Caenorhabditis elegans: one gene and its partner. The protein of the gene in region 1 interacts with the protein of each later gene in a pairwise test. Each region holds a gene or a part of one and is shown in the gene's direction. Other genes may lie near its edges.

Evidence for each region. Proteins that work in one complex are often made in the same cells at the same time.
Region 2: the proteins of rnf-1 (region 1) and rbm-7 interact in a two-hybrid assay, tested with the Caenorhabditis elegans proteins (one large-scale study listed by BioGRID).

What each region holds. Positions count from the first base shown.
Region 1 is NC_003279.8:6,009,264-6,013,193, reverse strand, and holds rnf-1 (RING-type domain-containing protein), read left to right. Parts: upstream 1-1,607; 5' UTR 1,608-1,723; coding exon 1,724-1,730; intron 1,731-1,782; coding exon 1,783-1,856; intron 1,857-1,904; coding exon 1,905-2,079; intron 2,080-2,125; coding exon 2,126-2,317; intron 2,318-2,367; coding exon 2,368-2,510; intron 2,511-2,554; coding exon 2,555-2,671; intron 2,672-2,718; coding exon 2,719-2,802; intron 2,803-2,850; coding exon 2,851-2,937; intron 2,938-2,983; coding exon 2,984-3,085; intron 3,086-3,154; coding exon 3,155-3,319; 3' UTR 3,320-3,412; downstream 3,413-3,930. Other genes in the region: ints-1 (Integrator complex subunit 1 RPB2-binding domain-containing protein), read right to left, coding at 201-565, 624-886, 941-1,136; C06A5.8 (RING-type domain-containing protein), read left to right, coding at 3,676-3,724, 3,774-3,853, 3,904-3,930.
Region 2 is NC_003281.10:12,927,854-12,933,403, reverse strand, and holds rbm-7 (RRM domain-containing protein), read left to right. Parts: upstream 1-1,536; 5' UTR 1,537-1,542; coding exon 1,543-1,722; intron 1,723-1,767; coding exon 1,768-1,976; exon of another isoform or gene 1,977-2,016; coding exon of another isoform or gene 2,017-2,222; intron 2,223-2,266; coding exon of another isoform or gene 2,267-2,312; intron 2,313-3,458; coding exon of another isoform or gene 3,459-3,512; exon of another isoform or gene 3,513-3,531; intron 3,532-3,686; coding exon 3,687-3,823; intron 3,824-4,724; coding exon 4,725-4,930; 3' UTR 4,931-5,034; downstream 5,035-5,550. Other genes in the region: Y37D8A.19 (uncharacterized protein), read right to left, coding at 2,017-2,222, 2,267-2,312, 3,459-3,512.

The sequences.
Region 1 (3,930 bases):
AAAATTTGACTTATTCTTTAAACTGTTTTTTTTATTTCCACTTTTCTAACACAGAATAAAAATTTCTTCTGAGATTTTGATAAACTTTAAATGCTTTTCAGCTAGTATTACACCGTTGTTTGTAGATGCTGCTTTTTGTTTCTGTTTAAATTAGGAAAAATATAAGCGAAATTTTTTCTAAAAAATCGTAAATTTATTACCTTTTTTCCCTCGACTTCCCCACTTTTTCAGAGAAGAAGCTCAAAAATTCGGAAATGGCAAAATTCTCAACCTGGCACTGCGCATACATTGCCGGAAATGGATAGACAGTTTCAAACGGATCCAAAATCATTTTCACAAGCTCTGCCGAGCACTCTTTTTCAATCCAGGAGCATCGATTCATTGTGCCGAGTCCAACGCTCATTCCAATAGAATCATGGAGAAATGCTGTTAGATAACATTTATCAAGAATTGGTTGTTGCCTTGCAAGTGAAGTGATTATTGAGATGAATAGTTCGAGAATATTGTCAGGATATGATCGAGAATTGCAAATTACGAAGAGCAGAGCGCGGTGGAGAGGAATTTGCTGAAAATTTTTCAATGATTAGAATTATTCTCCAAGTTTTTGTTAGATTTGAACCAACATTTAGCTTATCCCCATGATTTTTTACGGTTTCCGCAATTGTTCCCATTATTCTGAGCTCCACTTTCAACTTTTCTCCGACAAAGAAGCTCTTGAGCGCGGCGACGAACATTTTAGCGATTTTTGTAAAATGGCCCGCTAAAATCGCCTCCTGTACGCTTTTCTGGAAGGTTTCGATGTTTAAATTGATTGTATCTCCAAAATCTTTCCATTGATCATCGAGATTGGGGCGAACGAGATGGCTGGATTGTAGGGATGGATTTGCTGGAAATTTGTTTAATTATTAGGTGTTTTCTGGGAAAAATTGAAAATTTTTACCGGAATTACTTAGCGTTGGCTTTGGTGGAATACAAGTTTTTGATCTAAAATCCAACTTCGCTTTAACTCCTCCAGAAGTTGACGGTCCGCCAGTGCCTCCACTAGTCGTCGGGAGTTTATGGTTCAGTTTCGCCTTTTTCATGTCCTCCGGCTTCATAATCGTATCATTTAGGCGTTTGTGTTTTTTACGTTCCATTATTTATAAGATTCTAAACGAGAAACTCTTAAGATTTTCCGGAAAATAATGATAAAAACGGTTGTGAAATTGAATGAGAATAAAAAAACGAAACAAGCACGAGTGAGGCAGGTGCGCTCCAATGCGAATTTCTTTGCGCGGATGTTTAAATGGTTATTTTTTTATGGGAATCGACAAGTCACATGCTACGCTAGAGAGAGTTTTACATTTTACAGTCTTTTTGGAATTTAATAATATATATATTATCATAAAATCGAATAAAAATTGTTTCGAATAATGAATAGCTTTGTTTTTTCGTCTTGACTTCTGAAATAATTTTAAATTTGAGAAAAATTTGTGTCGCAATATATAATTATTAATATTATTAATAATGTAATTTTTTTATAATAAACTGATTTATATTTTAAAAACAAAAAAGGAATGACAATTCAGTTTAGTTTTATGAAAAACTTTGAAAAGACAAAAATAATTACAGTAAACGCGCTCCGCTAGACTCCCCAAATTTGTTTTTGTTTTCCAGGCTTGTGTCCAGGCAAATTCCAGCTTTCTTTTTGTTTCAGAATTTCTAGGTATTTATCTCCGTGAAAATGAGCGGTAAGATTGACAATCTCGAGTTTGTATTAAAATTTATTAAATTTCATTTCAGAAAAAAATACCGAAAATCCAGAAATTCTATCAACAGTCTTGGCTGGGTACTGCCAGTGCCAAGTCTGCTATCAGGTACTAATTTCCTAGTTTTACTCAATTTTCTACAAAATATGTTTGCAGCCTTTTAATGAAACCACAAAATTGGCTCGGTCCTTGCACTGTGGCCACACTTTCTGCACAGAATGCATCAGAAACGTGCAAAACTACGGTAATTCCCCACATTTAGAGTGCCCTACTTGCCGTGCGGAAACTAAAAGCAACATCGAAAATGTAGCACCAAATTTTTCAATTATGGGTAAGTTTTACCTCTTTTGAGTATTGAAATCCACGTTTTTTCTCAGAATTGGCAAGGAATTTCGGGCTTCTGGGTCCTCCAGTTGACGCTCCGCGAACTTCCTCTAGTTGCTGCTCAAATAAAACGAATAGAGATGAAATGATTGATAATAAATTCCGCGAGCTGCTTGTTGAAGTAAAAAGCAGTCTCATTCACCATTTTGACGTTTTCCGCATCAAATCACAGCTATGGAGTCTAGGCAAAGCCAAATGTGTATAAGTATTTTCTATAAAAACTGAATTTTTTCAGCAGAAGCCGAGCGAGAGGTCAGCAACATGGCTGAAGCCTTGGCAGGGGCTGTTTCTGAATGTTATTACGATTCTGACGACAATTCTGATGCGAATTCTGAGGATCAGCGAGTTCGAACTATGCTAAGGTTCTTGGCAGCAAGAGTTAGTTGATATTTTCCATGCTCCCTTGATTTGAAAATTTTCAGGACAGCGATTCTGAGACTACAGAAGACTCAACAGATTTTCTAGAATCAAATACTACTGTCCCGGACAGAACACTGGGTGGCGGTTTCTATCGCAATTTTCGTCGTCTTTTTGGAGACGTTAGTTTTCATCGAGTTAAACATTTAGAATAGAAAAAATCTTTCAGGAAAACGAACTAGATGATCCAGGTGTGGTTTCAGGTATTGAGGAGGCGGCCGCCTACCGACGTTTTCGAGGACTTTTTGGAAATGTAAGTGTCACTGTCGACAAGTTTATATTTTAGAAAAAATGTTTGCAGGACAACGACAGCATTTCGCAGGTTTCCACAACTTCCGGCAGTTTTGGGAATCATGAGAATGATCATTTTTGTCCGTTTTCCGATGACGTTAGTAGGACTTTGAATTCGATTGTTAATCTTTTTTCTAATTCAGGATAATATCTCCGAATGTTCCGATGACTACTATCCCACATTGGTTATGCCTGAAACAGATGAAGAGGAGACGTACAAAAGTTTTCGCTGCCTTTTTGGAGATGTATGTAAATTTATTGTCAGACGGCTATTTTTTAAACTAAAACAGCTGAAATTAAGAAAAAAATTCCAGGAAAACGGGAACCTCGACTTTTCCGACGACGAAAAAGAATTCTCCGACAATGAATCTTCACTCAGCTCAGTTTCCACTGAAGACTTTCCGAATTCGCACATAGAAGAAGCCGGCAGAGTTCTTCACAGATTTCTTCTGCTCTCTGCTCTTCTGAATGAAGAATAAATTACTATATAATTCAATTTTATCCCGTCTCCGCCTGAAATTTTTGTATTGTTTTACATGTTTTAATAGAGAAAATAAAGATCTCTTCTTGTTTTCCCCTGAAAAATCTGTGCGATTTCCTTTATTTTATTTTCGCTTTTGTTTCTCTTCAAAAGTGTTTTTTTTTCTCATTCAAAAATTCAGGACTTTCAAGGGAACCACATTTATTTGGAAAGGTCTCGCCGCGAAATCATAATTCAAACATGGTTGTTCATGTGCCTTTAAGATTACTGTAGAAAGTTTTGGAAGAAGTTTTGAATTTTTTTCTCCTTTCTTTCCCAAAAATCACCTACTTAATTTAGCATTTTCAGCCATAAATGTCCGCAACAAAAAGTGAAATGCCTGCGGATGTGGCATCTGTAACAGGTAATTTTTCGTTTTTATAAGATCTGGTTCCAAAATTCGAAAATTCCAGATAGTTCGGCTGCGTCGCCTGCATTCCCGCTGATAGGTGATTTTCTCGAGGAGTTTCTCAAATGCCAAGTCTGCTGCACTGTGAGTGCCCCACTTGTTTTATTGTTCAAAAATTAAACTTTCCAATTTAGAATTACAATGAGACGACAAAGCTGGCT
Region 2 (5,550 bases), on another chromosome or scaffold:
CATCTGCAAAAAGTATTTATTTATCAGTTTTAATAAGAAAAAACGAAAAAAATCGATGAAAAACAAAAGAAAACAGGCGGAAAACAAAGCAAGATAAATGGCCGCTGAAACTTGTCGGCCCCTCGGCCATGGCCTAGAAACCACTTTTCCTCGTCCCTCGTGAGGAAAAAGTTGCAGTGGCGCGCGAGACAGATGTGGCGTTGTTCCAATTTCTTGGCAATTAGCCAAGAAAATGGGAGAACGAACGGGGAAGAAGAGATATGGGAGACGACGGGGGAGACCCAGAAAAGGCGGAAAGTGAAAGAGCTGGGGAAAAGTAGTGGAATATCAAATTTAATCAAAATTCTTCGAAAAAAGGGGTTTTTTGCATTAAAAATCATGTTTTATGTTCATTTTATGTTTTATTACATGTTATCAGTGAAAATAATTGTTTTTGTCATCAAAAAGTATTTGTGAGCATGCTCATGAGCACATATGTGTTTGAGACAAGATTTCTAACAATTTATGGTTTAAACACACTAAATAAAGTACGAAATTACGATTAGCGTTTAAAAAAAATCAAAAATCTTTGTAAAAAATGCCAAAGAAATCAAAATTTGATGTCTTATCATCATCATTTGTGGGTTTTTAATGAATCGTCTAGCAAAAGAGAGGCAGGAAATTGCACTTTTCAGAAAAAAAACCCCACGAGGGGGCGCCTGATCTTGTTTTTTCTCGATAAAAATTGCGGAACAACGGAGAAATATTTATTTATCAATCTAGAAAAATATTGTTCCTCATAGCCTGAACCTGAAAAGAACTTTCTAGTTTTTTTGAAACTGCTATGAAATAGTTAGTAAAACAAATAAATAATGACTCATTTGGGCGCTCTGACGATCTGAAAAGCAGGTAAATTCGTCATACAGGAGAAAAATGAGGAAGAAATAACCTTTTTTCTTTTGAATTAAAAAAAAGCGGACATTTTTCTGAGGAAGAAGGGGGCTAAAGGGTGGCTAAAGGGCTCTTGAGACGGATTCGATTTATTTTTTGAGGTAGAAATATGGATTTTTAAGTCAATTTAAGTTTGGTTTCAAACAAAGCTAATTCTCAGGAATTGAGCGGTTTAGCTGTATAAAAATTTTAAAAATAAATACACCGCTCGCTCCATGGAGAAATATTAATTTTTGCTTTAAATCGAACTGTAGAGCTCTGCGAGCCTCTTCTCCACTCGACACACGGAAAAAACTAGTAAAAGTACCTGAAATATACTTTGGAAACAATTAATTTTCACAAAAAACGGAAAAAGGTTAAGTAAATTTGCTAAAACAACCAGTTTTTGTCGGCTAGGTTCTACTTTTCTAGTGCCGTGCTGGCTTTTCTCTATGCACGAGATATGCGCCAGCAAAATCGAGAAACGCGTCAGCGAGGACATGTTTGCGCCATCCGGGAATGGGAATGGGATTTATTTGGTTTTTCTCGTTTTTCTCGCTTTTTCTCTCACATGAGTGAATTTTCAGCCTTTTTTTCGAAATTTCGAATTTAAATTTGAATTTTCAGCAAAAAATGGAAATAAAACCAACGCCATCGCCTCCAGAAGAGCGCACAATATACGTGGCCAATTTTTCAGAAGAAGTCGATGAAGAATTGCTCGAAGAGCTTTTTATTCAAGCCGGCCCCGTTGTAAAAGTTATTCTGAGAGATGTGAGGGATTCTAATGCAAAATTCGCATTGGTGGAGTTTGAGGTAAGCAATTTCGCTGAAAAATTTAAAAAAAAAAATAAATTTCAGGACGAATTATCTGTACTATTCGCCATTGAATTGATGAATGGAGTGCGACTTTTCAATCAAGAACTACAAGTAAAGCCGCGAAATGGCACAAATCAGGAGGAATTATATAAGCGAAAAAAAGGAGAAATCGAGGAAAGAGTTCGATCGGTAGCGGCACCGGATCGAGACGGAAGACGGGATAGCTATAGAGATGATCGGAACAGGAATAGGTAGAGTTTATTGGATTAATTCAAGGATTTTAAGGCTCAATTAGCACGATCTGACGCAGCAAACACAGCTTCTTCCGTTTGTCGACGGGAATCCGGAGGCGCGATCTGCGGAGAGCCCGGCGGCAAGAGCAACGGATGCACAACATCCTGGGCATCGTTCGGCTGGATTTGAAGCAGCGTCAGTGCACCGAGCATTTGTAGACTGGCCGTCAATGTTGGCGACGAAGCCGGCGGCAGTGGAGCAGGCTGGAAATTGAATTTTATTGATTTTTTAGCGTTAAAAATCGTACCAAAGCAACTTGGGAATCTGTTAGCATTGTTATTGTTCCAGATGATCTGAAAAGAAACAAAATTGATTTTTTTTTTGAATTTTATAATGAAACTTCTTGAAAACTTTTCCAAAAAAAATTATGACGGCTCAAAAAATGGCCTAAAATTCGTTAAAATCGGAAATTTGATCGACTTGTCAATGTCGCAGCGGCTGGAAATATATTTTTTTGAAATCACCGTTAAATTTTGAGTCTACAAGTTGATATTTTGCGTTTTAAACTTGATTAACAAGGAAAGTCGAAAAATTTAATGTCTGACTTTGGCATGACATAGTATTTTTCGATAAAAGAGTAAAAATAATGATGCCTCCAAAAAATTTAGCTGCCCGGTTCAGGTTCAGCAAAGTTATGACGTTTTGGAAGTGACTAAAACACCTTTTTACAAAATTTCAAAATTTTCAACAAAAAAAAATTTCTAAAAAGAGGAGCAAATGTGTGTAAATTATTCAAAACAATGAAAAACATATGCTATGCAAGTTTTAGGTTATACCTCTCAAGAAAACCCACAAATTAAATCTGCAAAAAAATGTACTTTTTGGAATTTTCCTCAAGTTATGTAGATCAAGCAATGTGCTTTTTGGTCTGTGGTGAGAAAAAACGTGTATGATAAATGTTTTTCTCATTTTTGGATAAGTTAAAACAGTTTTTTCCTCTTTTTAGAAAATTTTTTTTTTTTTTGAAAATTTTGAAATTTTGTAAAAAGGTGTTCCAGTCACTTTCAAAACGTCATAACTTTGCCGAACCTGGACCGGGCAGCTAAATTTTTTGGAGGCATCATTATTTTCACTCTTTTATCGAAAAAAATACTATGTCATGCCAAAGTCAGACATTAAATTTTTCGACTTTCCTTGTTAATCAAGTTTAAAACGCAAAATATCAACTCGTAGACTCAAAATTTAACGGTGATTTCAAAAAAAAAATATTTCCAGCCGCTGCGACATTGACAAGTCGGTCAAATTTCCGATTTCATCTAATTTTAGGCCATTTTTTGAGCCGTCATAACTTTTTTCTGAAAAGTTTTCAAGAAGTTTCATTATGAAATTCGGTGTTTTCAGACAATTTTGAGCCTAATAAGGCAATTTTTAAAAAAAATTCTACTACACCAGTGGTGTAACACCACCTTTAATTATAAAAAACATTATAAAAAACTCACGCTCTGCCCCGCAGCCACAGAAATTACAGCGAAAAATACGATAAGAAGCTTCATCTCTAACTCAGACGATGATAAAAAGATCAAATTCGGCTTTATTTTATACCCGGCGTTGGCTTGGTTTCTGTCTCACAACATTTTTTTTTTGATTAAAAATCTCAGAAATCGAAGAAAAACGTTGAAAATCAACAAAAAAAGGCCGAAAAATCATTTTTTTTTTGTCTTTTCCAGAAACGGAAACAACCGTGACTCATGGCAGCAGCAGCAGCCTCCTCGTCATCATCGACAATATGATCCTCTTCCACCTCCACCGCCACCTCCACTGATGGGAGGATCCGGAGGACATTGGAGAAGCGGAGGGGAAAGAGGTAGCAAAAAAATCGATTTTTAGTTGAAATTTCTGAAAAATTGGAGATTTTTAGGCCTGAAATACATGAGAACGGGCTCAAAATAACTGAAAAATGGAAAAAAAATCTTTTTTTTAAAAATTTTTTTTTGCAAAAAATTCAAAATTTCAACCTTTTTTCCGCAAAAAAACATGCTGAAACCCTAAAAATCGATAATTTGCAAGGTTTTTGCGGAAATTAGCCGGAAAATTTGATTTTTAAAAAATTGAGCCAATTTTTGAGGAATTTTAGAAGAACAAATCTATAATTTTTCCGAAACCCCCTCAATATAAGTGAGAAATCGGTGAAAAAATCTTAATTAGAAAAAATTTTTTTTTGTTCAAAAATCTGAAAAATTGGAGATTTTTAGCCCTAAATTGCATAAAAGCAGGCTCAATTTACCTAATTAGGCCTAAAATAACTCAAAAATTGGGAAAAAAAATTACACCAGACGAAAAAAAGAGCATCGTTTGTCCAATTTTCAGACATTTTTCCGCAAAAAAAAATTGCTGAAGCTCAAAAGTGGCCAATTTTAGAGAGTTTCAGGGACTTTTTTTGCGGCAAAAAGTCTGAAAAATCATTCCTAAAATCAAATATTAGAGAAAAATTCAATGAAAACCAATAAATTTTCTGCAGAAAAACGCAGAAATGTCGGAAAAATTCGTTAATTTTTCCAAAAAATCGATTTTTTTTGCAGAAGTTTCTGAAAAGTTCTAGATTTTTAGACCTAAATTTCATGAGAACAAGCTTAATGTACCTAAAATAACTAAAAAAAATTGAATAAAATTGAAAAAGCTGAAAAAAGTTCGCTGAAAAAAGTAACCAATTCAGCCGAAAAACGCAAGAATGTCGGAAAAAAAATCGAAAAATCAATATTTTCCAGGTCCTCCACAATATTCGACTCCGCAAATGCTTCCTCATCAACATTTTGTAAATCAAATGATGCAGCAACAAATTAATAGATCCGCTCCTCCGTACAATGGACGTCATCAGAATTCCACGCCACACCGTCATCACGATCGTCATGGATATGACCGAAGCTCGAGCCGGCATCATCGCAATGATGACAGAAGACGTGAACGTTATTGATCGATGATTCGGGCGGGAAATCATAATTATTTTGATCTTTTTCACTTGTTTTGCCATGTTTTTTGGTCTCATTTTATATATTTAATAAAAGCAAACACAATTTGAAAATATAGAGAAAAATGCAACAACAAAGATCTACTGGAAATTTTCAAAAAAATTTATTTTTAGGCTCCGCCCACTTCCTGGATATCCGGAAATTTCAAGTGATTTTTTTGGAATTTTTTTCCTTTCCAGAAAAACAGATATCTCCAGGAAGTGGGCGGGGCCTAATAAGCCGTTTTTTTTTGAAAAATAAAAAAATCCAAAAAAATTTATTTTTAGGCTCCGCCCACTTCTTGGGCATTCGGAAATTTTCAGTGTTTTTTTTGGAATTTATTTTCCAAAATAACCTATCTCCAAGAAGTGGGCGGGGCCTAAAAAGCAGTTTTTTTTTGAAAATTGTTAAAAAATCAAAAAATTCGGATTTTTTTTGGAAAATCCTAAAAATTCAGAAATTCCACAGAAAAAAAACACCTTTTTTTCAATTTTGGCTAAATTTTGGCCGACCAACCAGCGAATTGCTTCGCCCACTTTCCGACCAATCAGGTGAGAGGTCCACCTTTATTATTTCATTAAAAGTA